Linked DNA regions of Sus scrofa. The protein of the gene in region 3 binds, or shares a complex with, the protein of the main gene of each other region. Links are inferred from orthologs where the notes say so. Each region holds a gene or a part of one and is shown on either strand. Other genes may lie near its edges.

Region 1 (9,782 bases), on a different chromosome or scaffold from region 3:
GGAAGCAGATCCTTTAGCGTGGTTAACGCTTCAGATGACAGTAGCCCCAGCTAATATATTGACTACAACCTCATGGGAGGCCCTGAGCCAGAACTACTTAGCTAAGCTTAATTTTTGACCCACAGAAACTTTTTGATAATAAAAGTGTTTTTTTGTTGTTTTTTTTCCCTGTTTTTTTAGGGCTGTACCTGTGGCAGATGGAAGTTCCCAGCCTAGGGGTCAGAATCGGAGCTACAGCTGCTGACCTACACCACAGCTCATGGCAACACCGGATCTTTTTTTTTTTTTTTTTGTCTTTTGCCTTTTGTTGTTGTTGTTGTTGCTATTTCTTGGGCCGCTCCCTTGGCATATGGAGGTTCCCAGGCTAGGGGTCAAATCGGAGCTGTAGCCACCGGCCTACGCCAGAGCCACAGCAACACGGGATCCGAGCCGTGTCTGCAACCTACACCACAGCTCACGGCAACGCCGGATCGTTAACCCACTGAGCAAGGGCAGGGACCGAACCCGCAACCTCATGGTTCCTAGTCGGATTCGTTAACCACTGCGCCACAGCGGGAACTCCCCTGGCTTTCCAGTTTTGATAAGTCCTACTTTCATACTTTAATGCAAGTGTCTCCTCAGTCTGACTGTGCATGATCACAGTTCTCTGTGCTTACATTTATTTATTTTTTTACTTTAAAAATTAAAAAAAAATTTTTGGTGCCCCACCTGTGGCATATGGAACTTCCAAGCTGCTGCTGAGGCCTATGCCACAGCTATGGCAATACCAGATCTGAGCCGCACTGCAACCTTTGCTACAGCTTGTGGCAATTCCAGATCCTTAACCCACTGAGTGAGGCCAGGGATCAAACCACGTCCTCAGGAGACAACATCAGGTCCTTAACTCACAGAGCCACAATGGGAACTCCTAATTTTTTATTAAAGTGTAGTTGATTTACAGTGTTGTGTCAGCAGGTGCTTACATTCAGCATTGTGCTTAGAACCCCTGAATTCTCCGTCCTATGTTGTAGGACAATTCTCAGTGGTGTTTCTACAGGTCTTGTGACAGCTTTTATCTCAAACTATCTTTTCAAGAATGTCTACATAGCAAATAGCCTTGGGAGACAGGGATGTTAGCTCCCTCTGGGTTAACAGGCAGAGGGCAGATTTTGTTTCCCGGGAAGTATAATAATGTCTCTCTTGGGGCAAAGGTTGGACAGGTTTGTAGCTCCTTATAAGGCAGGATATTTCCTAAGCTTAAGATTCCTCAGCTGTGACACAAACACATGGTGTGCAGTTACTCCCTAGGGTGGTCTGCAACACCCCTGTGGAACACAGAGGGCAAGGGGAACTGATTTGAACATGAAGCTTATGCTGCTTGCTGAGCCTGGAGTAATAAAATCCTTTGTCTCTAACCTTTAACTTTCCTGTCTTCTGCCAGCATCTATCAATATATGAAACTATGGCAGGTGAACTTGCTAGTTTGCACATAGGGAAAATTTTGGACCCTTTCTAGCTTTTTTTTTTTTTTTTGTCTTTTTAGGGCCAAACCCATGGCATATGGAAGTTCCCAGGCTAGGCATCAAATCAGAGCTGCAGCTGCCAGCCTATACCATAGCCACAGGAATGCCAGCTCTGAGCCACATCTTCGACCTACACCACAGCTCATGGCAACGTCAGATCTTTAACCCACTCAGCCAGGGATAGAACCTGAGTCCTCATGGATACTAGGTGGGTTCGTTAACACTGAGCCATGATGGGAACTCCACCTTTCCAGTTCTTGACATCTCTACACATCTCTGCATCTCTACATGCTTGACTGTAAGTGCTTCCTCGGGAGCAGGAAGTGTGTCTGAATGGATTTTGCTTCCTTTGTGGGTGATACAAAGTAGTTGCTCTATAGGTGGTGGCTGCTACTAATGATGCTTTGGTCTAAAGAGCTTTGTTTTTTGTTTTGATTTTGTTGTTTTGTTTTAGAGTGGACTCTTTAAAGGGCTTTGGATGTAAGTACTCATATATAGTTACTGAATCCCACTTTGAAATAAATTGCCACGATTCTTCCTGTTATTAGGTACTGTGTATATCCCTTGGATTTTTATTAGAGGGTAAAGCCTCAGATCTGTGTTTTGTAGCACATTAAGATTCTCTGGGGGTTAAATATGTTAGATAGTTCACAGTGTGAATAAGCCCCAAAGATGACTGAGCAGAGACTAGGTTTTTCTGGGAGGTAGTATATTATGCTGCACTTAGGACAGGATAACAGTTTCTGCCATTAGCATCAAATATAGCCAGAGCAGACCAGTTCTCTGTGGAACCAGACTGATTTCAGACCAACCTGTCTGAACGTGAATGAAGGAATTAATCAGGACTCTGGTGCCTGAACTTTTAGGCACAAAAACTTTTCCCTTCTTCTAACCCTTTACAATGTGTAATACCAACCACGACTAGGCAAGCTTGCTGGCTGGGCCTGCTCATGGGAGGGAAATCCACCAGGCTGCAGCTTAAATCCGGGTTTGCAATGGGAGGCCTATCTAGCTATCCCTTTTTTCCTGGTTTAGAAAAAGATGGTAACTTTGCAGCATTTAAATAGAGGTGGTTTTCAAAGCTAGAGTCAGGGAATTTTCTTGGGGCAAAGTGGGTTAAGGACCCTGCCTTGTTATTGCAGCTTGGGCCACTACTGTGGCAATGGTTTGATCCTTGGCTTGGGAACCTCCACATGCCACACGGTGGGTAGAAAAAGAAGAAAAAGCCAGAGTGGGGGAAAATGAGCTTTCCTTAGTCTATGGCTGAATGGCTGTTAAAACCACTTCATCTCATTTATTTTATAGAGTGAAACAAAACAAGACAAAACTGGGGTAGAGAAGGGATAAATTGCTGAGACTGGCTATTGATTACCGACCTTAAATTGACCCTATTTCTATCTCATTAGACCGCTCATTTTTTTCTTGTCCCCTTGGCTTCTTCACTTCCTGCACACCCAGAGAACTGGAGTGCAGCGTTCTAATGCTTGGTCAGCATGATTCCTAAATTTTCTAGCAGGCTTGACTCACCAAGACCGCTCCAGTTTCTCTGTGTGTGTAAAGCAGTCCCACCCCAATCCAGACGAAGGAGGCAGAAAAGGAACCCTAAGGCTTGAGCGGGGGTAGGGTGGAGTAGGGAAAGGCGGGGCACCCCGAGACGTGCTCAAGTTTGTTCAGGGCGGGGCAGCCCAAGAGAGCCTCTCAGGCCGAGCCCCGCCTAGCATGGCGATTACACCATGATGGGAAGCGGGCGAAAGAAGGGAGTGGGCGAGGGGCTGGAGGTACGCCCCAGCGCCCCACTCATTTCTCTCTGAGCCAGGAGAGACACACGGTCTTCCAGAGACGCAAGCACTTGCTCAGGGCAGAAGTGGTATCGCTCAGCAGACTCCTTCCTCTACCGGGGATTGGCTCTGCAGGGCATGTAAGTCACAGCCAAGAAGGGGAGTTGGAGAGATGTACGTGACCTCGGGGAGCGCGGTCGCGCCCAGTCGCGCGCAGTCCCGCTCAGGCACGCGCCCGACGCCCCGCCCCGCCCATATTGAGCGCGCGCGGGGCCTCCACCCCATCCCCCCGCCCTCGCGGTCCCCTCCGGCAGCATCCGTCGTTCCCCGCCCCCTCGTCTCTGGGGCTGTCCTCTTCGCTGCCTGACCTGAGGTCCGGCAACGTCTGTCTTTCTGGCCCCCGCCGAGGGACCGAGGCGCCCTATCCCGGGGGCGGGGGTGCTCTTGGAGCACGTGGCTGTTTTAGAGCAGGTTGGAGTGGGCAGCAGGCGGCGCTGCGGGGACAGGCGCGGCGGGCAGCCCCAGGGGCAGCGGCAGGGTCCTGGCCGGTGGGGGGAGGACAGGGTTGCGGCAGGCGGAACGGTGTCTCCTTCACTTCGCCCTCCAGCCGAGGGAGCTGCAGCCCGACCCTGAAGGAGCCGAACGGTTTCTGCTGCGAGCGAACGGCAGGGGCGCCTCCCCCTCCCCCCAGGAGACCACCAGGTACCGCTGCCCCCGCCTCACTCTGACCCGGGGGCGTAGGCCTGGGCGGCCAAGCAGGATGTCTGAGCCGGACTCTGGGTCGGCCCTGGCTCCCTAAGATGGCCGCGCTGCCCCGCGGCCCCTCTCCCCTCTGTCCCAGACCCCCTTTCTGGCCCCTTGGTTTGCTTCTGACCCCTGCTGACCACACTTTATGTCCCTCCTTCAGATCACCTCATCCGACGGCTTCGCCATGGCGTCCTATGGACAGACCTGCCCACGGCGTAAGTAGAGGGGGATCTCTGCGGGACGGGGCGGCGGTGCCTGGACAGTCGAAGCCTGTCGAACGGAAAACTAGGGCTTCTTTTCCCGTATCTCTCCGAGGACTTGGAAATTTGTCCCTTTTGGTAGTTTCTCCATCGTCTGACTCCTCTAGTTCTGCGGAGGAGGGACTGAGTTGCTGGATTTCGAATAGGGGGACTAGGCCAGGGGAGTTGGTTCATGGTCGCATTCACCTTCAGCTTTTGGATGTGTCTTTAATGGACTCAGAGGAAAAAGTTACTGATACCGGATTTGGTTTTTGGAGGCTTGGATCGGTCACTTTTTTAGAGGAAGTAGTAATCTCCCTTGTGAGTGCACAAGGTCATTACATGTGCTCCTAAGGGCGTGGACGTGCTGTGTAGAATGAATGAGCTAGTGTAACGAGCTCAGATTGCTTGCCCTTAAGCCGCACAGCATTGGCCGAGGATATGTCTAAAGTGCCATCTGATATTTAGTTGATGTAGACACTTGAGTGAAACATAGATGGCTTTTTTTTAAGTTCCGTTAAGTTCCCCAGGTATTATTTACCTTTCTCTTCCCATTCCAGAATATTGGTTTTGGCCTCAGAGAGGATACTAAAGGATGTATTGGGGGAGGGGGTGAGGGACTTGTCTTAGTTTTTTTAATCTCATTTGGTTAAATCAGCCTATTCCAGTGACTTTTGGCAGGTATATTTGAATGTATAGTTATATATGTGTGTATGTGTTTGATTCTTTGTATATTTTGGAAGGAATTTCCCAAGTTTTTTGGCCACTTACTATAGTTATCTGTTTTAGAAATTAGTCTTTGGTGCTGATGTCTCCCTCATGGATCCTAGTAGACTATAGTTTTGTTGTAGCTCCTCGTGGTAATAAAAACAAGTTGGATTGCTTGGATTTAAAGATAGCAGTCTGTTCATAATCTAGTTCTTGAACAGACTGTGGGAGCACAGGGACATTAACATTGGAATGTTTCTTCCCACCAGCAATGTGTATTCCGCCATCATATGCTGACCTTGGCAAAGCTGCCAGAGATATTTTCAACAAAGGATTTGGTAAGAATTGCTTTAAAAATTTTAGATCTGAAGTGGAAAATGTGTGTTTGGATTGCTTAGGGAAATTATTGACTTTAAATTGTAAGTATTTTGCTGCATTCTCTTATTAGTTATATTTAAGATAAGATTTCTATTAAAATAGTACTGTAAAACAATCCAAATTCTATCCCAGTTTCATCTGTTTTTTTCAAACTTGAGTTACAGGAATTTACCTTTAAGAAGAAAAGCAATCATGCTTTCTTTTCTTTGAGATATAGTTTACGCCATGGTTGACTAGAATTGATGATTGTCTTGGATTGCTTTGATGGTGGTGACTCCTACTAAAGAGTTATGGGTTTTTTCGAATAAATTAGGACTCTCTTGAAGATTTTATTCCACACCTCACCCTCCCTGTCCTTTAGAATATTTCCCCAGTTATTTAGATTATTAATTGTTTAGATTATTAATCCCCGAAGGAGGTACCTCTTTGGGTTAAATGTTCTCAGTGCCTGTATTATAATAAATTATTGGCTATTCTGAGATTTAAGTTGAAGTGATTTTTCTAATCTGATATTTCGGTTTGAAAAGCATTTTTAAATAAATGCTTTGATAAAATTGTTTGACAGTTGGGGTTTTTTTTTGGGGGGGGGATTGCCAAATACACACCAATATATTAGGCAAAGCTTCATAGGGATGTTTCTGTCTATTCACAGAATTTTTCATTTAAGTATCATGTATCAATGCACATTTTTGTCTCCCTTTGAATATGTGAAATCTTTCTGGTTTTCTTTTTTTAGTGTATATAGTTGGCTGTTGTCATGCATCTTTTATACAAAAGAATCATTTTGTTCTCTTGAAGGTTTTGGGTTGGTGAAACTGGATGTGAAAACAAAGTCATGCAGTGGCGTGGTGAGTGTTAGGTATCTGATAAGTTCTGTTGAGCCTTTATATAATTTTTTTTTGGGGGGGGCTCACCCTTGGTAGATGGAAATTCCCAGGCTACGGGTTGAATTGGAGTTACAGCTGCTGGCCACAGCCACAGCAATGCCAGATCCAAGGCCTGTCTGAAACCTACACACAGCTCACGGAATGCCAGATCCTTAAACTACTGGCAAGGCCAAGGATTGAACCTGTGTCCTCATGGATACTAGTTGAGTTCATTACCGCTGGGCCACACGGAAATGCCTATTTTATCTTGAAGAAACAAAAGATGATTTCATTTTAAGGGCATTTTATCTTGATTTTATTTTCATTTTTGGATAGGATTTCTGGGTTTTGTGTGATCTTTTGTCATATTACTTACTTTGTATGTGCAAGGTACTCAGGAAAGACTGGTCATGTGGGATTCTGTTACTCAGTAAGATTGCAACCTGTTTTACTTTTTTGCAAGCCCTTTTGATGAGTTTGAAAAGCCTTAAGAGTTCTGCACATAAAATATTCACTAATTTATTCTTCCTTTTTTTTTTTAATGCCATCTGCAGCACATGGAAGTTCCCAGGCTATGGATTTAATCTGAGCTACAGCTGCACTCCACAGCCACAGCAACAAGGGATCCCCAACCCACTGAGGAGGCCAGGGAGCAAACCTGCCTCCTCGTGGATATTGGCTGGGTTTGTTTCTGATGTGCAGCAATGGGAGCTCCTTTTTTTTTTTTTTTTTTTTTTTTAACTAATTCGTAATTTGAGTGTAGTAATCATTTATACAATGATTATATTCTAACAGTCCTCCTTGGAGACATTTCCACCTGTATTTTGTGAATTTTTAGAGTCCTAAATTTGAGTATTTTTAAAAAACGTTTTTTTTCTGCAACATGTGGAAGTTCCTTGGCTAGGGGTTGAACTGGAGCTGAAGCTGCAGGCCTGCCCCACAGCTGCAGCAATGCCAGATCCAAGCTATATCTGTGACCTAACCCACAACTTGTGGAGTGCCAGATTCTTAACCCTCCAAGTGAGGCCAGAGATCGAACCTGCATACTCATGGACACTATGTCAGGTTCTTAATCTGCTGAGCCACAATAGGAACTCTAATAGTACTCCATATTTGAGAGGTTAATATTTTGATATTTGGATATCTTGATTCTGCCTGACTCCCTAAGAGTAAAGTAAAATTTATTTTGTGTAGTTTTTTTTCCTAAGGATTTTTTTTGTTTCATGTTGAGATTGTTGTAGGGATGGGGTGTAATGTGTGCATACTGGTTATTTTGATAAATTCTTGCTGTAAGTTGTTAACTCCCGTAATGCATATAACTGATATTTATTTAAATTAATTATTCTGTAGTTTCTTAATGCCTAGACTTGGATTTCTGGGGTTTTATATTGGTCACATCTGTCATTTGATTTCTTTGGTCTGAGTTTTCAGTGGTTGAGTGACTTACTTGCTCAGGATAACAGGTGTTTGTTTTGTGTTTCCTCTCTTAACCTATTGGCCTCTATAAACCACTTGCTGTATGTTTGCTGAAATACAAAAGGCCTTCTAAAAAAGTAGAAGACTCAATTCTTGTGTTTAAAAGGCTTGCTGGCTGGAGAGACACTTTAAATGACGGAACAGAACAGTATATCTAGTACTAGATTGTTCAATAAATCAGAGTCTTTATTGGAAAGGAAAGGCTTTTTGTGGCCAGGAATTTTATGAAATTAGGCTTAAGAACATGAAGAATGTATAGGAGTTTAATTAGATACAGCTTTAAAAAAATTTTTTTTTATATTTTTTTGCTTTTTAGGGCCACACTTCCAGTATATGGAAGTTCCCAGGCCAAGGGTGGAATCGGAGCTGTGGCTGCTGCTGGCCTACATCACAGCCACGTGGGATCCGAGCCATGTCTGCAACCTACACCACAGCGCTGGATCCTTAACCCACCGAGGCCAGGGTTCAAACCTGTGTCCAGATGGATCCTAGTTGGGTTCATTACTGTTGAGCCACGCTGGGAATCCCTAGTGTGTTTTTATTTATTTTTAATGTATGTAATTCAAAAGTGTGAAACTCATTTTGTAACGTGTACCTGGCCCCTAATATTCCCATCAATGCCTAGTTCTGCTATCTCACCTGAGCTGCAGAGATGTCCAGGCCACCCCAGCCAGAATGTAGAAGCCTAAATGTCTTGGCGATGGTGTGAAAAGAGTATAAGCTCCACTGGTGCTGTTATCTGGCCCAATTCTGGTTCCACATTACAGTGTGATCTTGTTGTTTTTGTGTCTCGAGCACTCCGTGGCATGTACTTGTATATAAACCCACTCAATCTATGGACTGATGGGTGGCAGTGGGCAGGGCCTCAATCATCAATCATGTCACTCAGGATTAGAAATAGCTGCTCATACACATTCTGCACTTCAAGTATCTATTAAAAGAACATGCTCCATATATTATAGTGTTTTAATAATGAATGCTTTTGTGTAGAGCATGTGAAAATGTGCAAAGCTTTCAGTGTCACTCCACTTTAATTCTCCAGAGATAGCTCAGTTGAGGTAATTGAGACCCAGAAGAATGTCTTCTTCACTGTTCTCATTTAATAATGAGTGGCAGAACTGGATGTCAGGACTCCTAATTTTATTTACTTTTATTTTTTATTTTTTTGCCTTTTCTAGGGCCGCTTCTGCGCCATATGGAGGTTCCCAGGCTAGGGGTCCAATCGGAGCTGCAGCCACTAGCCTACACCAGAGCCACAGCAATGCAGGATTCGAGCCTCGTCTGCGACCAACACCACAGCTCACGGCAACACTGGATCCCCAACCCACTGAGCAAGGCCACGGATTGAACCCGCAACCTCATGGCTCCTAGTCAGATTCATTAACCACTGCACCACGATGGGAACTCCAAGACTCCTAATTTTATATCCAGTGTTTTTTTTAGTATGGGCATTGAGTGCCAACCTTTGACTTGAAATTTCTGTTAATGAAAGCATCTAAAAGACCTAAGGAGTTGAATCTGTTTCACTGCAGAGAAATAGTTAAACAAATGTACTGTTTTCCTAAGTGAAGGGTGATTCGCCTTTTCTCCTGTTGATATAGTTTTTGATATAGATGTCACAATTTCAGGTGTAAATTTTCTTTATTAGTTCAGATCAGCCATCTTTAAATTTGGCTTTCCAGTGGCCAAAACCTATAAATATCAGTAGTAGTCAAATCAGAACCTTTAGAGGGCATTTTAGTATTTTATTTTGGAAGATTTCAGTTGCTTGCCAGTATTCGATCTTTGGAAGATTGGATTTCTGGATTATTTGCAGCAGATTTTAAATTTCATATAAGCCCTCTATATTTTGCCTCCCTTTTCAGTTAGTGTGCAGGATTGGCAAGTTATAAATATATATGCTTCCAACACATTATATAATGCACTTCAGTTGGTGACTGCATTTGATAATTTTTCTACTGATGCCATCTGTTATACAGAGTATAGTTTATATTATTCATGATATCAACCAGATGTAGAGTTAATCTCCTATGATTTCCCTCCCCCTATTTTTAAAAATACTTATTTTTTGGCCATGCCCATGGCTTG
Region 2 (9,782 bases), on a different chromosome or scaffold from region 3:
AAGGGCAGTTTCAATGGAGCATTTTTAAATTGTAATTTAAAATTCTCTGAAACTGATCCAAAAAAAAAAAAAAAGGATAATATCTGATATCCATGTGCCCCTATAAAGAAATTGGAGAGAAACTCATCTATTAATCTATGTCTCTTCCAAATAAATTGCATGTGACGAGGGCCATGCTTTTTCTCTCCCACAGGAGAGATCAGGATACACACACTGCTGAAACAGTTGGCCACCTGTCCCTAGCCAGGGGTCCACCTCATGGCCAAGCATGCCTGGGGCCAGAACCCTTCAGATGGTTGAAGATCCCTCCAGCAACAGCTACTATTAACATGTCCCTTAATTTCATATTTAAGCAGGAAGGAAGGGAGGTGGAGCCTTTTGCTTGTTCTCTTTTGATGTCCTGGCTTTTCCATCACACCGACATCAGAAGAATTAAAGTGAAGATGCTCCCTAATGTCGGTTGGTCCTAAACAGTGGAAAGTGCCATCGTCTGTTCATTCAGGAACAGGCTGGCTGAGACATGTGCAAAGCAAAGTTCAACTCAACGTCTGTGATACAACGAAGCTCGCATTAAAATGTTTTTTTGTTTTTGTTTTTTTCTTTTTGCCATTTCTTGGGCCACTCCCACGGCATGTGGAGGTTCTCAGGTTAGGAGTCTAGTTGGAGCTGTAGCCGCCAGAGCCACAGCAACGCAGGATCTGAGCCGCGTCTGCAACCTACACCACAGCTCGAGACAACGCCAGATCGTTAACCCACTGAGCAAGGGCAGGGACGAACCCGCAACCTCATGGTTCCTAGTCAGATTCGTTAACCACTGCGCCATGATGGGAACTCCCCTATTAAAATGCTTTTATTGTTTGAAACCACGAAATTCAAAGATGATTAAACTCTGTGAACTTTCACACACTATTCAAACAAAGTTCATTTTTCAAAAAAATTGAGACCATGAATGAGTTAGATAGAACTTTTTTGGGGTAAGTGTGTATCCAAAATCCTTTATTTTATTGTTTTTAGTTTGTTCCACTGTTTCTTTCTTTGTATCTATTTTTAAACAATATTATTGAACCCCTAGCTGTGGTGTAGGCTGATGGCTACAGCTCCGATTCGACCCCTATCCTGGGAACCTCCATATGCCACGGGAGCAGCCCAAGAAATGGCAAAAAGACAAAAAAAAAAAAAAAAGAATTTTACTGAAGTATGATTACAATATAATATATGGTAAGGTGTACAACAGTGACTCACAAATTTTAAAGGTTATACTCCATTTATAATTATTACAAACTATTGGCTATATTAACTCTGTTATACACTATATACTTTGTGCTTATTTATTTTATTTATTTATTTTGGTCTTTCTGCCATTTCTTGGGCTGCTCCCTCAGCAAATGTAGGTTCCCAGGCTAGGGGTCCAATCCGAGCTGTGGCCACCGGCCTACACCAGAGTCACAGCAATGCAGGATCTGAGCCGTGTCTGCGACCTACACCACAACTCACAGCAACGCCAGATCGTTAACCCACTGAGCAAGGGCAGGGACTGAACCCACAACCTCATGGTTCCTAGTCGGATTCGTTAACCACTGAGACATGACAGGAACTCCTGTGATTATTCATTTTATACAAAATAGTTTGTACCTCAATCCCCCTAAGTGTCCATCGATATATGAAAGGATAAAGAAGATGTGGTATATGTGTATATATACACACACATATATATAAATAGACACACACAATGCAGTACTACTCCGCTGTAAAAAAAAAATTAATGAAATTTTGCCATTTACAACAACATGGATGGACTTGAAGGCTATTATGCTAGGCGAAATGAATCAGAGAAAGACAAATACTCTATGACCTCTCTCTCTTTTTTTTTTTTTTTTTTTTTGCTTTTTAGGGCCATACCCGAGGCACATGGAGGTTCCCAGGCTAGGGGTCAAATCGGAGCTGTAGCCGCTGGCCTACACACCAAAGCAACAGCAATGCCAGATCCAAGCCGAGTCTGTGAATTGCACCACAGCTCACTGAAAGACCAGATCCTTAACCCACTGAGCGAGACAAGAGATCAAACCCGAAATATCATGGTTCCTAGTTGGATTCATTTCCGCTGAACCACGATGGGAACTCCTCTAAGATCTCATTTTTATGTGGAATCTAAAAAATAAAGCAAACTAGTGAATATAACAAAAAAGAAACAGAACTCACAGATACAGAAAACAAACTAGTGGTTACCAGTGGGGAGGGTTCCCTGGTGATAAAATAGACTGAATTTTTCTTTTCTTTTTTTTTTTAGCACCACACCCACGGCATATGGAAGTTCTCAGGCTAGGGGTTGAATCAGAGCTATAGCTGCCAGCCTATGCCACAGCCACAACACCAGATCTGAGCTGCATCTGTGATCTACACCACAGCTCAGAGCAACACCGGATCCTTAACCAAATGTGAGAGGCCAGGGATGGAAACTCACATCCTCAGGGATCCTAGTCCTGTTCGTTACCACTGAGCCACAATGGGAACTCCCTGAATTTTTCAGAAAGGCTTTCATTATGTTAAAAAAGCATTAAGTAAAATGTTTACCTAAATACTACACACAGAAAAATGCACAAATCAAAATGTACTTTTAGGAGAATTTTCATCACATAAACGGATCAGGAAACAACGTCCCAGGACTCTATAGTTGTAGACACTCTCATGGCTGTTTAGTATTCCATTGGGTGAATATACCACAATTTTCCAGTCTACTATAGAGATGGCCATTTGAGTTGTTTCCAGTTTTACACTATGTGGAATAGTCTTGCTATAAACATTCTCGGGTAAATTACATATGCTTTTCTAGGGGTCTATACCTAGGAGTAACATTACCAGCTTCTCATTCAATGTATATACTGGTTTCTTTCTTTTTCTTTTTTGGCTACACCCACAGCATGCAACTTTCCCCGGGCCAGGGATCAAACCCACGCCACAGCAGTGACAGCGCCGGATCCTCAAAATGTTGAGTCACTAGGAAGTATTCCTATACTGGTTTTGACATGTTTAAACTCACTGGAGTTTCCATCGTGGCTCAGTGGTTAACGAATCTGACTAGGAACCATGAGGTTGTGGGTTCGATCCCTGGCCTTGCTCAGTGGATTAAGGATCGGGTGCTGCCATGAGCTGGGTGTAGGTCGCACACTCGGTTCAGATTCCACGTTGCTTTGGCAGTGGCGTAGACCAGCAGCTACAGCTTAGATTAGACCCTGATCCTGGGAACCTCCATGTGGTTCGGGTGCAGCCCTAGAAAAGACAAAAAGACCAAAAAAAAAAAAAATTTCACCAATTCAAAGTGGATCTTTCTGCAGTTGCCTTGTTTTTATTCCTATTTACTCTCATTCTTTCTTACAACTTTACAGCCCAGAAACAGGGCTGTGCTAAAGGTCGCAAATGAGTCCTGAAATAAATAGGTTAGACTGTGTCTTTCTATTCAAGAAATGCTGAGGTGGGTCTCAGGCTAGACGAAGGTCCCCTTGCCCTGAAGGTCATCTGTGACACATGGCCATACCTTCAAAAACATTTTAACATCTCTTCCAGGGCCTCTTACCCACAACCAGCCTTAAGGGTAAGGAGATTGGAGGTACTCATGATTACAGGAACGTTTTTTTAAATGGCAGCACCACAAAATATACCTCCTTAGCCTGGGGAAGGCTTGGTTCCTTGTTAAAGAATAACCCACTGACCAAATAAATCATGTAGATCTTGTCTGGATCCCAATTTGAACAACTGTAAAATAAAACAACAGGGAAATCTGAATATTGATTGGATAGTAAATGATATTGTGAAGTTAATGGTAATATTTTTAGAGGTGACAATATCATTTATGTTTTGTAAAAAAATAGTTCTCTCTCAATAGATATTTAAGTATTTATAAATGAAATGATATGATATATGGGATTTGCTTTAAAGATGGGAGAATGGAAAGTAGGAAGATATGCACAGGTGACTAAATAATGACTATTTGTTGATAATTGTTGAAACTGGATAATTGGGTACATGGGGTTCACTATAGTTTTCCATTATTGTATTTGTAAATTCTCTTTTTAAAAAAGGCAAGAGAAAGAAAGAAAAATCACTCAGTACAAATTCCTTATCAGCCATTCCAACAGCAGCTTTGGGTAACAAGGCTCTACCACCAACATGCTGTGTGACTTTGTGAGTTGATCCACATCTCAGGGACTCTGTTCACTAATCTGAAAAAAGTGGCCTAAGGGTGAGATTTCTCTCCGGGGCCTGTGGGCTTGTTGAGACGAGTGGAAGGGCATCAGGGGCAAGGACTCAGCAATCAGGGCAATGCAAACTTTAACCTCAGCTCTGATACTGCATATGACCTTGGACTGTCACTGCCCTGTTTTTTTCTTTTTCCTCAGTTTTCTTATCTATAAAAACGACCTTCCTATCTCATTGGTAGGAAAATTAACAAACGTAGATTCTGGCACCGTCGGTAAGGGGTAATAATTATTCATTTCTCTTCTCAATTTCTCGATTTTGCCCAGAACCAAGGATGTTGACAGGATCTCCCTGACAATGCAATCTTTAGATCCTGGGTGCAAGAGCAAGAAACTACCCGCCGCGCAGATGCGCGAACAGCGCCCTCGTGCGCGCACAGCGGAGAAACAGCCAGAGAGGCGGCCCCGCCCATTGGCGCCCGCGCCTGCGCAAAGGCGCCGACCCGAAGTTTGTTGTTGTGACAGGCGTCCCGGCCTCCTGCGGCTCGGAGGAGACCCAGCCGCGGCACCATGGTGGTGCGACAGGCTCTGGGCCGGGGCCTGCAGCTAGGCCGAGCGCTGCTGCTGCGCTTCACAGCCAAGCCTGGCCCGACCTATGCCTGGGGGCGGCCCGAACGCCCGGGCCCAGCGGCGGGCTGGGGCCGCGGAGAGCGCCCTGGCCCTGCCGCGGGACCCGGAGCGGAGCCGCGCAGGCTCGCGCTCGGGCTCCCCGGCCGCTACCGCTTCTTCCGCCAGTCAGTGGCCGGGCTGGCGGCGCGGCTCCAGCGACAGTTCGTAGTGCGGGCCCGGGGCGGCGCGGGCCCTTGCGGCCGGGCTGTCTTTCTGGCCTTCGGGCTGGGGCTGGGCCTCATTGAGGAGAAGCAAGCGGAGGGTCGGCGGGCGGCCTCCGCCTGTCATGAGATCCAGGTGAGCGCCGGCCGCGGGCGGGGGTCGGAGCGGGAGCGGGAGTCGGGCTGCGGGCGGGGCTAAGTGTGTGGGCGGGTCTTGGGTGGGTGTGGGGTGGGGCTAAGTGTGGGCGTGGTGAAGGCGGAGCTGGGAGGCATTAACTGATTTGGGGCCCTGGGTCAGGGTTTACCTTTGTCCGAGCTGGAAATTCCTTGACATCACTGATTAAGGCTCATTTTCGATGTCACTGATCTCCTGACCTGGGGCTTAACAGCTCACTTTTTACTGTTTTCCCTTCCTTCAAACAGCATATTTTGGAAGTTATGTTAATAACCACTCATGTTGCACCTTGGCCAATAACTTTCTGTAAATTTTCAGAAATTTAAGGACAACTAAGACATAATACTTATATTCCTGTGGTTGGTTGTCATCCCTAATTTATGGATGAGGAAACACACTCAGAGAAGTGAAAGGTGGTGTAAATTGCTGAAAGTCACACAGCTCATAAAGGGCAGTGCCCCAAGTCTGATTTTACAAAGCCTGTGCCGTTAACCACTGCTCCAGCCAGGCTCCTTCCACAGTTTAGCCAAATCAGAAGTGACACAGTGACTGATATTAATGACAGATCTGAAGCTTCAGCAAAAACCAAGAACAGCAAGAGAAGATAGCAGACCTGCTTTATTTTTATTCAATGAATTTCATTGTATTTATAGTTGTGCAACCATAATTACAGCCTAATTTTATTTATTTATTTGTAAAGCAAAAGCGTTTATTAAGGCGTCAGAGGGTGGCTGAGCTCAAGATGGCACCAGCCCTGACTGTGAGGAGGTGCTAGGCTTATAAAGAATCTGTCACAGCCTAATTTTACATTGCCATCCCAAACCCCCAGCGTATCCCCCCCCCCCAACCTGTCTCCTCTGGTCCCCGTAAGTCTTTCAAAGTCTGAGTCAGTTTCTGTTCTGCAAATAAGTTCATAATATCCTTTTTTAGATTCCACCTATAAGTGATAGCTATGATGTTTGTGTCTCACTGTCTGACTACCTTCACTTAACATGATAATTTCCAGGTCCATGCATGTTGCTGCAAATGCCGTCATTCCATTCGTTTCTATGGCTGAGTAATATTCCATTGGGTATATGTACCACATCTTCTTTATCCACTCCATCAACAGAGGGATGGACATTTAGGTTGCTTCTGTGTCTTGGCTGTTGTATATAGTGCTGCAGTGTACATTGGGGTACATGTATCTTTTTAAATCATGGTTTTCTCTGATGTGGGATTGCTTGATCATATGGTAATTCTATTGTTAGTTTTTTGAGGACTCTCCATGCTATTTTCCATAGTGGTTGCACCACTTTACACACCCACCAACAGACTAAAAGGGTTCTCTTTTCCCTTTGCTCCGCACCCTCTCCAGCATTTATTGTTTGTAGCCTTTTTGTTGTTGTTGCTTTTTAGGGCCGTTCTCATGGCATATGGAAGTTCCCTGGCGAGGGGCTGGATCAGAGCTGTAGCCACTGGCCTACGCCAAAGCCACAGCAATGCCAGATCTGAGCCGTGTCTTCCACTTACACCATAGCTCACGGCAACGCTGGATCCTTAACCCACTGAGCAAGGCCAGGGATCGAACCTGTGTTCTCATGGATACTAGTCAGATTTGTTTCCGCTGAGCCACGATAGGAACTCCCCTCATAGTGTGGGTTTTTTTTTGTTTTTTGGTTTTTTGTCTTTTTGCCTTTTCTAGGGCCGCTCCCGCAGCATATGGGGGTTCCCAGGCTAGGGGTCTAATCGGAGCTGTAGCTGCCAGCCTACACCACAGCTACAGCTATGCCAGATCTGAGCTGTGTCTGCGACCTACACCACAGCTCACGGCAATGCTGGATCCTTAACCCACTGAGCAAGGTAAGGGATTGAACCCGAAACCTCATGGTTCCTAGTTGGATTTGTTAACCACTGAGCCACGACGGGAACTCCCTCATAGCAGGTTTTTTTGTTTGTTTGTTTTTGAAAGTTGAGAATTAAATTTTATTTGAGACAAAATTAGGACTTAAGCCCAAGAGACAGCATCTCAGGTAGCCCTGAGAAACCACTCCCCCCCATAGTAGTTTTGATTTGCCTTTCTCTAATAGTGATGTTGAACATCTTTTCATGTGATTTTTGGCCATCTCTAAGTCTTCTTTGGAAAATTGTCTGTTTAGATCTTCTGCCCGTTTTTTGATGGCTTTTTCTTTCTTTTTTTTTTTTTTTTTTTTGGTATTAAGCTGCAGGAGGTGTTTATATACTTTGGAGCTTAATCCCTTGTCAGTCACTTCATTTGCAGAAATTTTCTCCCATTCTGTGAGTTGTCTTCATTTGGTTTAGGGTTTCCTTTGTTGTGCAAAAACCTTTTAAGTTTAATTAGTCCCATTTGTTTATTTATTTTTTTTTACTGTCATTACTCCAGGAGGTGGATCTGAGAAGATATTGCTATAGTTTATGTCAGAAAGTCGTGGGCCTATGTTTTCCTCTAGGAGTTTTACAATATCCAGTCTTATATTTAGGTCTTTAACCCCCAGATCCTTAACCCCCCAAGCAGGGCCAGGATTGAACCTGTATCCTCATGGATACTAGTCGGGTTTGTTGTCACTGAGCCACAAAGGGAACTCCTAATTCTGGGCTTCCTATCCTGTTCCACTGATCTGTATTTCTGTTTTTTTGTGCCAGTACCGTACTATTTTGATGACTGTAGCTTTGTAGTAGTCTGGAGTCAGGGAGCCTGACTCCTCCAGCCCCATTTTTCTTTCTCAGGATTGCTTTGACTAAGCAGACCTAGGTTTTTAGTTAATCTGTATAATTATCAGGGATGACTAGATACATAGGGTTCTAAGGCTTTTTAAATGTTTGAAATAGCTCAGAGAATTCTGTTTCTACTCAACCAAAATCAGAGTTCTCCAGAGAAACAGAACCAATAGGATGTGTTTATAAAAAGAGATTTATCCTAAGAATAGGCACCGAAGTTCAGGAAGGAGGCTGCCAAGTCCTCAGTCTGCAGAGTGGGCCAGCAGGCTGGTGATCCAGGCAAGAACCATTGTTGATGTCAAGTCTGAAGGCCGTATGCTGGCAGAATTCCCTCTTCTTCCAGGGAGGTCATTCTTATGGAATGACCTTAATGGAAGGTAGGGTGACTTGCCCAAGGGTATGGCTGGTTGAAGAGCAAGCAGTGTCTTCCATGTGTTCTGGTTTTCAGCCCAGTTCAGTTACTCATCACCAGAGTGTCTCATGTTTGCGCTCTGGCCCGTTTGGGGTGACAGGTGACATCTGACCTAGTCCCCAGCCTCTGTCCTTGTCTTTTTTTACAGCCCAACTGGCAGAAGCCAAGGATGGCCAACTTGACAAATATGGAGGCTTTTTTATTTTTTGTATTTTTATTTATTTATTTATTTATTTATTTTGACCTTTTAGGGCCGCACCCACGGCATATGGAGGTTCCCAGGCTAGGAGTCCAATTGGAGCTGCAGCTGCCGGCCTACACCACAGCCACAGCAACACCAGATCCAAGCTGCATCGGTGACCTACACCACAGCTCACAGCAACACCGGATCCTTAACCCACTGAGCAAGGCCGGGGATCAAACCCCCAACCTCATGGTTCCTAGTGAGATTCGTTTCCACTGCACCACAGTGGGGACTCCTATGGAGGCTTTTTTTAAAACTGAGGCGCTTGATCCTCCATCTCCACATCCTTTTCTCACACCTCACCCTCCTGTGTCTTAACATTTTTAATTAGTTGCCAATTAATTTTATTTTTATATGACTTTTATTTCCTGTTATAGTTGATTTACAGTGTTCTGTTAATTTTTACTGCACAGCCAAATGACCCAGTCATACATATCTATACATATTCTTTTCCTCACATTATCCTCCATCATGTTCCATCACAAGTGACCAGATACAGTTCCCTGTGCTATATATAGCAGGATCTCGTGCCAATTAATTTTAAAAATTCAAGCATTTGACTTCTTATTGAAAAAAAAAAAACACCAGATCTGGCAACTCTAATGCTAAAATTCCATGTGGTATCATACTGGAGTATAATAGTGATCACTCTATTTCTCATTTGGAAAAAAACCCTTTATAATATAGGCAAAAGACATGAATATGTATTTCACCAAGAGGAGTTGCAGGTGCCAAACAAGAATATGAAAAGATGTTTAACACCACTAGCCATTAGGGAAATGCAAATAAAAAATGCAATGTGATATCTCTGCATACTTATTAGAAGAGATAAAATTTTTTATTTTTTTATTTTTTGCTTTGTAGGGCTGCACCTGCAGCATATGGAGGTTCCCAGGCTTGGGGTCTAATCGGAGCTACAGCTGCTGGCCTGCACCACAGCCACAGCAATGCGGGATCCTTAATGCACCAAGTGAAGCCAGGGATCAAACCCGCAACCTCATGGTTCCTAGTCAGACTTGTTTCCACTGTACCACAACGGGAACTCCTAGAACAGACAAAAATTTTAAAGTAGTAATAATACCAAATGTTTGAGAGGATGCAGAGAAACTGGACTGATAGTGAAAATATAAAATGGTACAGCCATTCTGGAAAATAGTTGGCAGGAGTTTCTGCTGTGGTACAGCAGTTTGGGGATCTGGCATTGCCACAG
Region 3 (9,782 bases):
AAAGTCAGAAGTTGGAAAGCAGGTGGACAAACAGTAAATAAATGATAGACCCAAGAAAACTAAATTTGGAGTCAGCAGAAGCAAAAGCAAAACAACTCAATTTACATCATAGAATCCCTAAAACATTTGGGAACCAGTGACGTCGTGTACCTTTTAAAAGTAGGCCATGAAGGAATAGATACCAAAAAAAAAAAAAAAAAAAAATTTGGTTGGGGGTTCCCATTATGGCTCAGCCAATTAAGAACCCAACTAGTATCCATGAGGATGCAGATTTGACCCCTGGCCTTGCTCAGTGAGTTACGGTTCTGGTGTTGCCACAAGCTGTGGTGTAGGCTGCAGATGCAACTTGGCTCCCACGTTGCTGTGGCTGTGGCAGAGGCTGGCAGCTGCAGCTCAAATTCAACCCCTACTCTGGGAACTTCCATATGCCACAGGTACGGCTGTAAAAAGAAAATGAAATTGGTTGTAGGTTTAAGTAGTTAGATGCTCTATGCAACTCTCCAGAGCTAAGCAGCCTCTCTTCCCCACCTCCCTCCCCAAATTAGAATTTTATTTCTGACAAGGGTAAATTAGAGGGTTCTCTGGGTTGTGAGATACTGGACAGTTATGGGCAGGGGTACTGTACTCAACACAGAGATTCAGGGACACACACTGGCCACGAGATATGGAAAACAAGAGCTTCAGCATGAGAGAAGAGGGAAAAGGCATTCCCAGGATGGTGGTGAAGGGAGATCCCAGAATACAGCCAGGCACCAGGCACAGAAGACTATCAGTCCAGACTGGGACAGGTCCAAAAGCATCAGGAAAGGCTTACTCAGGAAGACAAAACAAGTGTACCTGCTGATACTAAATGCCGTAAGCAATTTAGACATATGGCAAAAAGTTTAGCTGATCTAGTGTGTTAAGTGCACAGAAAACTCTAACTAGGAAAATAAAAAAAGGAAAAAGAAAACAATGAACAGCATTTGGAGCCCTAATGAAATCAATCTAATCAAAATCACACTAATATTAACTGGAAGAAAAAAAGAAATGAGATGTGTGAGAGATGGAGTCAAGGAGAGGAAAGACACAAATCCTTACATACAAAAGTCAGGAGATAATGTCTACAACAGAAAAATCACAACATAACAACATACTCATGTTACTGAGAGACAAAAACGTAAACCCAACAGAATTAGATAAAAGGAAATGAATGTAGTTGCATCTGGGAAGAAGGTTAAGCACCATCCCCTTCTCCCAACAAACTTCAAGAAGCATCTGACTTAACTATAACATTTTCCCCTTTGGTGGCATTACATATTCTTGGCATCCTGCAGTAACACTGCCTTTTGCAAAGACTGCTTAAGCATAAAACCATGGCATTTTATCAGGATTAGTAAATTCTCCAGTCCCTAACAAGAAGGACTCAGTAACAGTCACATTATAATAGCCTCACCAGTGACTGTCAGTTTGCTGCAAAACATGGGTTAAGCCAAATAAAAGCCCTATTGTCTTGGCTGGTACACGTATTAAAATATAGACGAATGGTCTTGTGCTTAAATGATGGCATTGTGTGCTGGCTTCCACAAAACATAACAAATTGAAGGGAACTCTTCAACAAATATACTCCAGATGAAAGTAAAAAAGTACACAGAAATGACTCACAAGACAGTGCCATTGCAGATATAATTCCCTTATAATTAACACTTGCTAGAAAATGGAGTTTGACATCATTTACAATTATATCAACATTCATGAAGGCTGATTATCACAGGCAAAAAGGGTGTACTATGACCACAAAACATCTTTTCCTAATTCCCAAATGGCTTTATCTTTTAGCTATAAACGTCAGTTACCAAAGCCAAACTTGTTCTTAACAAGCAGAATGTTTATGTCCATTCAAAGAGTCTCTTACATCTCTCTGGGCTTATTCATCTGCAGACAAGAGTAGAAACTGTAACCAGGCTCTTCACATCATGCGTTCACACGTGATGCCCACTCTTCATATGCTGTCCAATTTCTTTAAGATAAAAGGAGCTGAAAGAAAAGTAAACCCAGCATTTGTTTTCAGATCTATTAGCCTACAAGTTATATTACAGAACTTTAAGAATGGGGAATAAACCTGACAGATTTAGTTCAACACATTTTTCAAAACAACTCCAAGTCCACACCCAGCAAAATGGATGCACTGTCTTTCAAGGCAGCCCATTTCCTGTCATGCAGCTCGGACTATTATAAAGTTCATTCTTGCACTATATAAAATCTTTTCTCCAGGTAGTTCTCCCTCTTAGGACCATAAAGAGTAAATCCAGTCCTCCTTCAACTGACAAGCCTTTACGTTGTGATTTAACTGTCGAAGAAACAAACAAATTGTGATTTTTCACTTTTTTCTTTTCTACGGCATATGGAATATGGTAGATCCCAGGCCAGGGGTCAAAATGTGGCAATGCCAGATATTTAACCCACTAAGCAAGGCCAGGGATCGAACTCACATCCTCAAGGACACTGTGTTGGGTTCTTAACCCGCTAAGCCACAACAGGAAGTCCTGGCATTTTTTGCTTGTAAAAACTCATTTGAAAGAAGGCAGAGGGTAGGGGAAAACACTGAGGCAGGGATCCAGAAGAGCTGGACACATATTTTGGTTCCCCTGCTGATTGACTGTACACCATTTTTGTGCTCTAGGTCATACCTGCTACAGTCCTACTTCAGTTATGATGAGGGTCCAGTGAGGTGATGTAGATATAAATGTCTAGAAAACAAGGAAGGGTTGTAAAAGGGATCTAAGGAAGTGATAGTGTTCTGTGTAAAAGGCTACAGCCAAAACAAGCACATGAAAAGATGCTCAGCACCACTCATCATTAGGAAAATGGAAATGAAAACTACGGTGAGATACCACTCACACCCACTAGGATGGCTGGCAAGGATGTGGAGAAACTGGAACCCTTGTGCACTGTTGCTGGGAATGTAAAACAGTCTAGCTGCTATAGAATACAGCATAGTGTTTCCTCAAAAAACTAAGAGTAGAGATATCTATACCTCCACGTTCACAGCAGCATTCTTTACAACAGATAAAATAAAGAGGCAACCCAAGTGTCCCAAGACACTTGGACAATGAATGGATAAGCAAAATGGGTATATATATACAAATGGATATCATTCAGCCTTAAAAAGGAAGGAAATTTTGACATATGCCACAACACAGATGAATGTTAGGACATTTTGCAAAATTAAAAGTCAGTTACAAAAAAACAAATACTGTTATGATTCCACTTAGATGGATACTTGGTCAAAATCACAAAGACTTAAAGTAGAATGGTGGTTGCCAGGAGCTGGGAGGAGGGGGGAACAAGGAATTATTGTTTAATAGCTATAGCTTCAGTTTTACAAGATAAAGAGTTCTGGAAATAGTCTTTCTGGTAGTGCTGGTTACATATGCTAATATTAAACTGAACACACGGAAATCTCTCAGAAGCTGACAAAGTCAACAGTATGACCAGTCTTTAAAAACAACAATAAAATAAAATAAAATAAAGTAAAAGTGTTGTGAAAAAAAAAAAAAAAAAAAAAAGGAGTTCCTGTCGTGGCGCAGAGGTTAACGAATCCGACTAGGAACCATGAGGTTGCGGGTTCGGTCCCTGCCCTTGCTCAGTGGGTTAACGATCCGGCGTTGCCGTGAGCTGTGGTGTAGGTTGCAGACGCGGCTCGGATCCCACGTTGCTGTGGCTCTGGCATAGGCTGGTGGCTACAGCTCCGATTGGACCCCTAGCCTGGGAACCTCCATATGCCGCAGGAGTGGCCCAAGAAAAGGCAAAAAATAAATAAATAAATAAAATGAATAACCTAAAGTGTTGTGAAAAAAAAAAAACAATAAATTCTAATCACAAAAAAAAGTTAACAGCCATCAAAAGAATGGACAAAGTATGATATATCCAGAAATTGGCATACTATTTGGCAATAAAAAAGTATAGATGAACCCTGAAAACATTATGCTAGACACAAAGTCACAGTACTGTACAATTCTATTTATATGAAATGTCCAGAATTGGAAAATCCCTAAAGACAAAAAATGGGAATGATCAGTAATGACATGGTGTTTCTTTCAGAGGGAAATAAAATGTTCTAAAATAGATTGTAGTGATGGCTGCACAACTCTGACTACACTAGCAACCAATAAATTGTACACTTTGAGTGACTTGTATAACATGCATATTGTATCAATTTAAAAATCATAAGGAACAGTATTCTGTATTTTTTTTTAAAAAAACAACTCATATCGAATACAAAGGTCATTGAAAAGAAGCAAATATTTTACCGGCAGCTAAGTCAACCAAAAAAAGAGGAAGAAATAAATTGGGAGTTGTAAAAAGCTGTTGGAGCTGGACAATCTGAGGTGGCCTGTTCACCAGGGCTCCCTCTTCCGGGGAAGCACAGTATTACCACAGACAGCGAAGGGGGCAGATTAAGGGGACAAGACTTTAGGGAGTTCTGGCCCTAGGCCCAAAAGGAGCCCTCTACAAGATGACCTTAGTATGACCTTCATTTATTTGAATCGTCTCTTCCTCTTCATCAAGGACCTACTAACATACAGCAAGGAACAAGGAAAAGAACACTGAACTGAAAATGAGACGGAGGGGCAAAGTGCTTCTCAAATTCCTATCAGTAAAACTAGAAAACTGATCTATAAAACTGCATCCAGATCTAATATTGTGTGCTGGTAATTCTGATAATTTGCGTAAGTGCCCTCTAAATGTGGAGTTCTTATTTGCAAAGTGGACAGAGATTTATGTCCTGCCTCTCCCAGGGCTATTGTGAAGATCAGGCAGTGCAAATAGTTTCTATCAAAAATAAAATCGAATAAACTCTCAGGTATTATCATCAGTCCTATTAGGAAGTTTCCACTGTGGCCCAGTGATTAACACATCGGGTTTGTTTCTGTGGAGGCGCGGTTCCAGCCCCGGTCCAGAGCAGTTGTTAAGGATCCGGCTGTTACTGCAGCCGTGGCATAGGCTGCAGCTCTGGCTCAGATTAGATTCCTAGCCGGGTAACTTCCATATGCCTCTGTGTGGCCAAGAGAAAAAAAAATTAATCCTATTAACTCATACTCTTTTTTCGTCATTCTTTTAAAATAGCAATTATTTACTCCGCCCTCCATACAAATAAAAGGAACAAAACCTTTTGGATTTCAGAGGTCAGCAATAATGGAAGGAAACTTGGCAGCGAGTAAAGAATTCTGGATTCTAGGTCAAGATCATTCACCAAATCGCTGAGTGACCTTGAGCCTGCCATTTATCCACTCTAGACACAAGTTTTTCTGTGTGCAAAACGAGGTAGCTGCTCTGGGAGATAACCCTTGAGGCGCTTTCATTTCAAACGGTCGGGCTGGGTGATTACCCTGGACCGTGATTCAACCTCGAGGTCCAGGTCGCCGCGTGCCCTAAAACACTCCAGCCCTCACAAGCAGATCCTAACCGCGTCGCGCATGCGCCCGCTGCCCTCGACGTGCACGTCCCTTGCGCCCAGCGACCGCTTAGTTTAGTTCAAGGCCCCCAAAGGCCAATGGGATCAAAGTTGGAGGGCAGTGTCCGCGAGCTCCCTGTTAGTTTCACGGCCACAGCCTGAAAGGACACTCACTGACTCGCAGCAGGGCCACATAGATGAGGAAGTTCCGTATGGAAGAGATCACATCCTCACGCATCTTCCGTTTCATCTCCTCAGGGTCCAGCTTCGGCGCGAGGCCCTCGATCCGGAACATCGCGGCTCTGCCTCACCAATTCCAGTGGTCGCGCTCTGCAATTCTCAGCTTCCGTGTGGCGCCCGGAACTCGACCCAATCCCATTTCCTGTTCCCGCCCCTCGTTTTCGACTCCTGCGACGGGAGCCTGCGAAGGACAAAATTCATCCTTACATTGACTTGTTCTGAAGGAGGGCGGCCTGAAGGGGGCACACGCCATCTTAGCGACGCGCGACTCGGGTTCCTGCAGGCTCCTGTCTTGAGCCCCGCGCGTGGAGCGGCAAAGTGGTTTTGCGCCTCGGAGGGGGAGGTGCACTTAGGTACCATCTTAAATAATAATAGTTAGCATTTATTAAATACGCAGTACATTTCTACTCATGAATTCGATATTATTATTTTCATTTTCTAGATAAGAAAATTAAAGCACAGAGATCTTTAAAACAACTTGCCCAGATAGTGTTTAAAATACCTCAGGGGGAAAAAAAAGGGTTGGGAAAGAGAGATGAAAGGATATTAGCAAAATATTGAAAATAACTTAGGTGGTGATTAGTGTATCATTTCAGTTAATTATTCCAGTCTTTTATTATGAATAATTTTGAACTTTTTAATGATGAGCTAAAATAAAAAGACAAAGATGATGACATTTGCTCAAGGTACACAACTAGTCAATTCTGAGCAGGGTTGTGTACCTAGTTAGACCAGTAGGGTCCCAGACACATAGTTTTTAACATTTTACGTTTTATTATTGTCATCTCATTTTCAGTGTTAACTGATCATCACAAATTACAGTATTGGCCCAGTGATACAGTGTATATAAATCAAGTTTAGATCTGTTCAACATTCTACAGATAAGGACAGAGAGGTTTAGAAACCCAGTGTAATTCCTAAAGTCTTTCTACTAATGATGGGCAGAGGCAGGGTTCTAATGCAAATAATTATAATATTAAATTGAATTCTCTTTCCCCTGCACCCTTTTGTTCCTCTGTTAGTCTTTATTAGCTATTAGTGCCTGCTTGGATGGGCATCTCTGGAAGCAGAAGGTAGGAATTTAATGCAACCAGATTTCCTGTCACGGAATGATCAAAACAGTTGTTAGAAGGCTGCTGCCCCAAATTATGCATGCCAACTAGCCATATATAATTCTCAGACACGAACCAGATGACTGACTTGCTCACATAATTCAAGACCAGAATGCTCCTTCTAGACTGTACATTGCATAGCAACAATGGATTTTAGATAAATTTGAACAGTAATTTACTATGGAAGCAACAGATAACTCTTAAATCTTGCTCTTCCCCCCCCCCCAACCCCCTGCCTTCCTGATTGACAGAATGTAACACATTGAGTCAAGAAAGGGAACTCATTTGCTTATTCAGGCTTTAGTAACCTCTTGCATCTATAATTCATGCAGTGGAATAGCAGAGGCAGCCCTGGAGTGGGAGGGGCTGATTCCCAAGGAATGGCTCCATCTAACCCTTGGAGAGCGTTTAGAAAGCCTGCACTGATGGTGGAAAGCAGTGGGGGCTGCGGAAAGAACCTGAAAAAGGAGGTGGGGGGAATGAAAGTATGTTTCTTTAGTTAAAGGGAGGAGATACAATTTTTTTTTTGTCTTTGCTTTTTGGGGCTGCACCCTCAGCATATGGAAGTTCCTGGGCTAGGGATAGAATTGGAGCTATAGCTGCCAGCCTGTGCCACAGTCACAGTCACCGCAGACATGGGATCCAAGCCGTGTCTCCACAGCTCAGGGCAACACCAGATCCTTAATCCACTGAACGGGGCCAGGAATTGAACCCTCATCCTCATGGATACTAGCCATATTCGTTTCTGTTGCAGCACAACAGGAACTCCCAAAGGGAAGAGATGTAATTAAATGCGCTTGAGAGTCCCTTTCAGTTCTAACAGTCTGTGCATTTAAATTCTAAATGTGTTATCTAGGGCATTCTGGTCTGGAATGTATGGACATCAAAATATTATCAAATGTGGTGAGATATGGAAACAGCCTGTGTGTGTTTTCCATGGTAGGAAGAACATAACAATAAGGCACACCTCATCCATCTGAAGAGTGAGGCAAAGCAGATGTGCAAAAAATGAGTTCTTATGTGATTCCAGTAACTTACATCCTTAGTGTTGCCCGAGTTTAGATATACAGTTCTCAAATGAAATTACCAATTTTTTTTCTTCACTGAGATGCTCTTGAATAACTTGCCTGGATTCACAGGGAACTGAAGAGAGAAGAAATTAACAGAAGATCATGTTTCTTGGTAAAAAGCACAGATTTTTAGCATTCATCCAATGTAAACACCTGTTTATTTGAAAACATGGTTGTAAATGGCTGATTCGTTAAAGTGCAATATTATTCTCTAAAAGCCTGGGGCTTGCCTCCTTGTAAAGAGACTGGAAGGTAGTGGGTAGAAATATGGTGTAGCTGTGTCTTGGGGGTAAGGAACTGGTTCTGGATGCGAACGATTTAGGAGGTGAACTGTTTCTGTCTCAGAGACGTTCATCCTGAAGGACTCTCTTCCCTTTCGTGGCTCTTCTAGTTGTAAAGGAGGAAACATGAAAAGATGTTAGATACTTTCATTGTCTTTCCTTTTCCTGGTTTTTGTTTGTTTGGCATGTAGGTGGAGGTATTGTCTAGTTGAGGTAGGCTTAGGTGAGGCAAACTGAGAGAGCATACTTCAGGAAGTTAACGCTGGAATGAGCTGTTCCGTGTCTCGGACACCTCATTTGTTCCTCCTTGGAAGGATGAGGGAGTGGGAGCTAATCTCTAAAATCACTGGCAGCTCTAAAATGCTGAAGCTCCATGCTTGTTTTTCCTGCTCTTCCTTCATAACCTTGCACTTTAGTGCTAATAGTAAAGGATTCCCTGTGATATGCCATGAAAGGCAAGAAATAAAAAGTATGCACACATACTTCAACATTGATATTTGTATTCATTAATCTGTTCACAGAAGAAATCGTGGCTGCTGTCATAGCCTGTCTTGCTTTCCATTTCAATCTCTGGAGGGATTTAGAAGCTGCTTCCCTTGCCTCGACTTTCCAGACAGCACTGCACTCAAGCATTCAGTGTGTACAACCTACCTGTAAAAGAATTAAGTGTTTTAATTTCTATCAATGGGGAGGAATTTGTATTTGCAAGGTCAGAGATTGACAGGTGACTCACGATTGAGGAAAAACCCCAGCATATAATCTCAGGAATCTTGTGGTTTCTAATTGATAGGGAATGTGTGCACTTCACATATTGAACAGTTGAACCCCTTCCCTTGGTAGATGAGAAAACTGAGGTCCAGAGAAAAGCTAGTTAGAGGCAGAGCCCCCAGGGGGCTAGGGTAAGTCTCTGGGCTCCTAGTTCAGAATTTTTTCCCATCGTACCCTCCAGCAGTTTGATACTTGGTGGATATTCTCATTGATAATCCTCTCCTCGGGGGTACAGACTAGAAGAATGGGGTGTGGGTGAACTTCCATTTGAAAGGGGCAGGAGAAGGGGTCCTGCTATTCATCAACAGGCTGAGGGTAGCCCCTCTTTCCATGCTTCCACACCCGACACCAGGAAACTAATCTGGGCTATGTTGTTAGCTAGCTCCACACCTCTCCTTCCTCATTCCTTCAGAGATGAGCATAGTCTGGTGTTCCCAAAATAAACTTGACTTCATCGGGACCCAAGATGAAGGAAACAAAGGTCAGGACAAGGAAGGGCAGGACACCTGGGCCTCAATGAGGGTTGCTCTGTGACAGATGCTAACCAGAGTCCTCACCTGTGAGATGGAATAATAATTGTAGAAATCACTGCCTAGCAAGAGGCATCTTCTGGAAGAGGGTCCTTTTGAGCCTCAAAGGATGAGTAAAATTTTGATCACCTTTTCCTCACTGGCATTTGCTTTCCCTAATACCCTGTTCTCTGTCTAATTTTTAGGACTATGTTGTCGGGACATTTTTGGTCTCTTACCAAGTAGACTGTAAGCAGCTCAAGTACAAGCAACATGTACTTTAAGCCTCCAAACAGTTGAGGACAGGTATTGACACAAGGTGAAAACTGAGTTTTTACCCCGTGAATGAATGAATGAATGAATGA

What was found.
Region 1: the proteins of TOMM5 (region 3) and VDAC2 are in contact, whole or in part, in a cryo-EM structure (PDB 9EII), measured with the Homo sapiens proteins. The link is inferred for Sus scrofa from reciprocal best matches to the Homo sapiens genes TOMM5 and VDAC2. Residues at the interface, in NP_001001790.1 of Homo sapiens: Ile25, Arg29, Leu32, Ile33, Ala36, Arg39, Val40, Phe43, Ile44, Lys47; in NP_001171752.1 of Homo sapiens: Val38, Thr60, Gly63, Asp239, Tyr258, Gln260, Thr261, Leu262, Leu268, Leu270, Val286, Leu288.
Region 2: the proteins of TOMM5 (region 3) and PINK1 are in contact, whole or in part, in a cryo-EM structure (PDB 9EII), measured with the Homo sapiens proteins. The link is inferred for Sus scrofa from reciprocal best matches to the Homo sapiens genes TOMM5 and PINK1. Residues at the interface, in NP_001001790.1 of Homo sapiens: Met1, Phe2, Arg3, Ile4, Gly6, Leu7, Ala8, Lys10, Leu11, Asp12, Pro13, Glu14, Met16, Lys17, Arg18; in NP_115785.1 of Homo sapiens: Gln484, Ala488, Gln491, Ser495, Lys496, Pro498, Val502, Lys520, Leu522, Lys523, Leu524, Met527, Glu565, Cys568, Gln569, Ala571, Leu572, Leu573, Cys575, Ser576, Trp577, Ala579, Ala580.

The regions. Positions count from the first base shown.
Region 1 is NC_010456.5:77,763,484-77,773,265, forward strand, and holds the start of VDAC2 (voltage-dependent anion-selective channel protein 2), read left to right. Parts: upstream 1-3,681; 5' UTR 3,682-3,982; intron 3,983-4,187; 5' UTR 4,188-4,211; coding exon 4,212-4,242; intron 4,243-5,243; coding exon 5,244-5,312; intron 5,313-6,150; coding exon 6,151-6,200; intron 6,201-9,782. UniProt on the Homo sapiens protein: Non-selective voltage-gated ion channel that mediates the transport of anions and cations through the mitochondrion outer membrane and plasma membrane.
Region 2 is NC_010448.4:78,858,526-78,868,307, forward strand, and holds the start of PINK1 (serine/threonine-protein kinase PINK1, mitochondrial), read left to right. Parts: upstream 1-4,669; 5' UTR 4,670-4,763; coding exon 4,764-5,159; intron 5,160-9,782. UniProt on the Homo sapiens protein: Serine/threonine-protein kinase which acts as a sensor of mitochondrial damage and protects against mitochondrial dysfunction during cellular stress.
Region 3 is NC_010443.5:238,327,247-238,337,028, forward strand, and holds TOMM5 (mitochondrial import receptor subunit TOM5 homolog), read right to left. Parts: upstream 5,821-9,782; 5' UTR 5,733-5,820; coding exon 5,612-5,732; intron 2,017-5,611; coding exon 1,982-2,016; 3' UTR 1,648-1,981; downstream 1-1,647.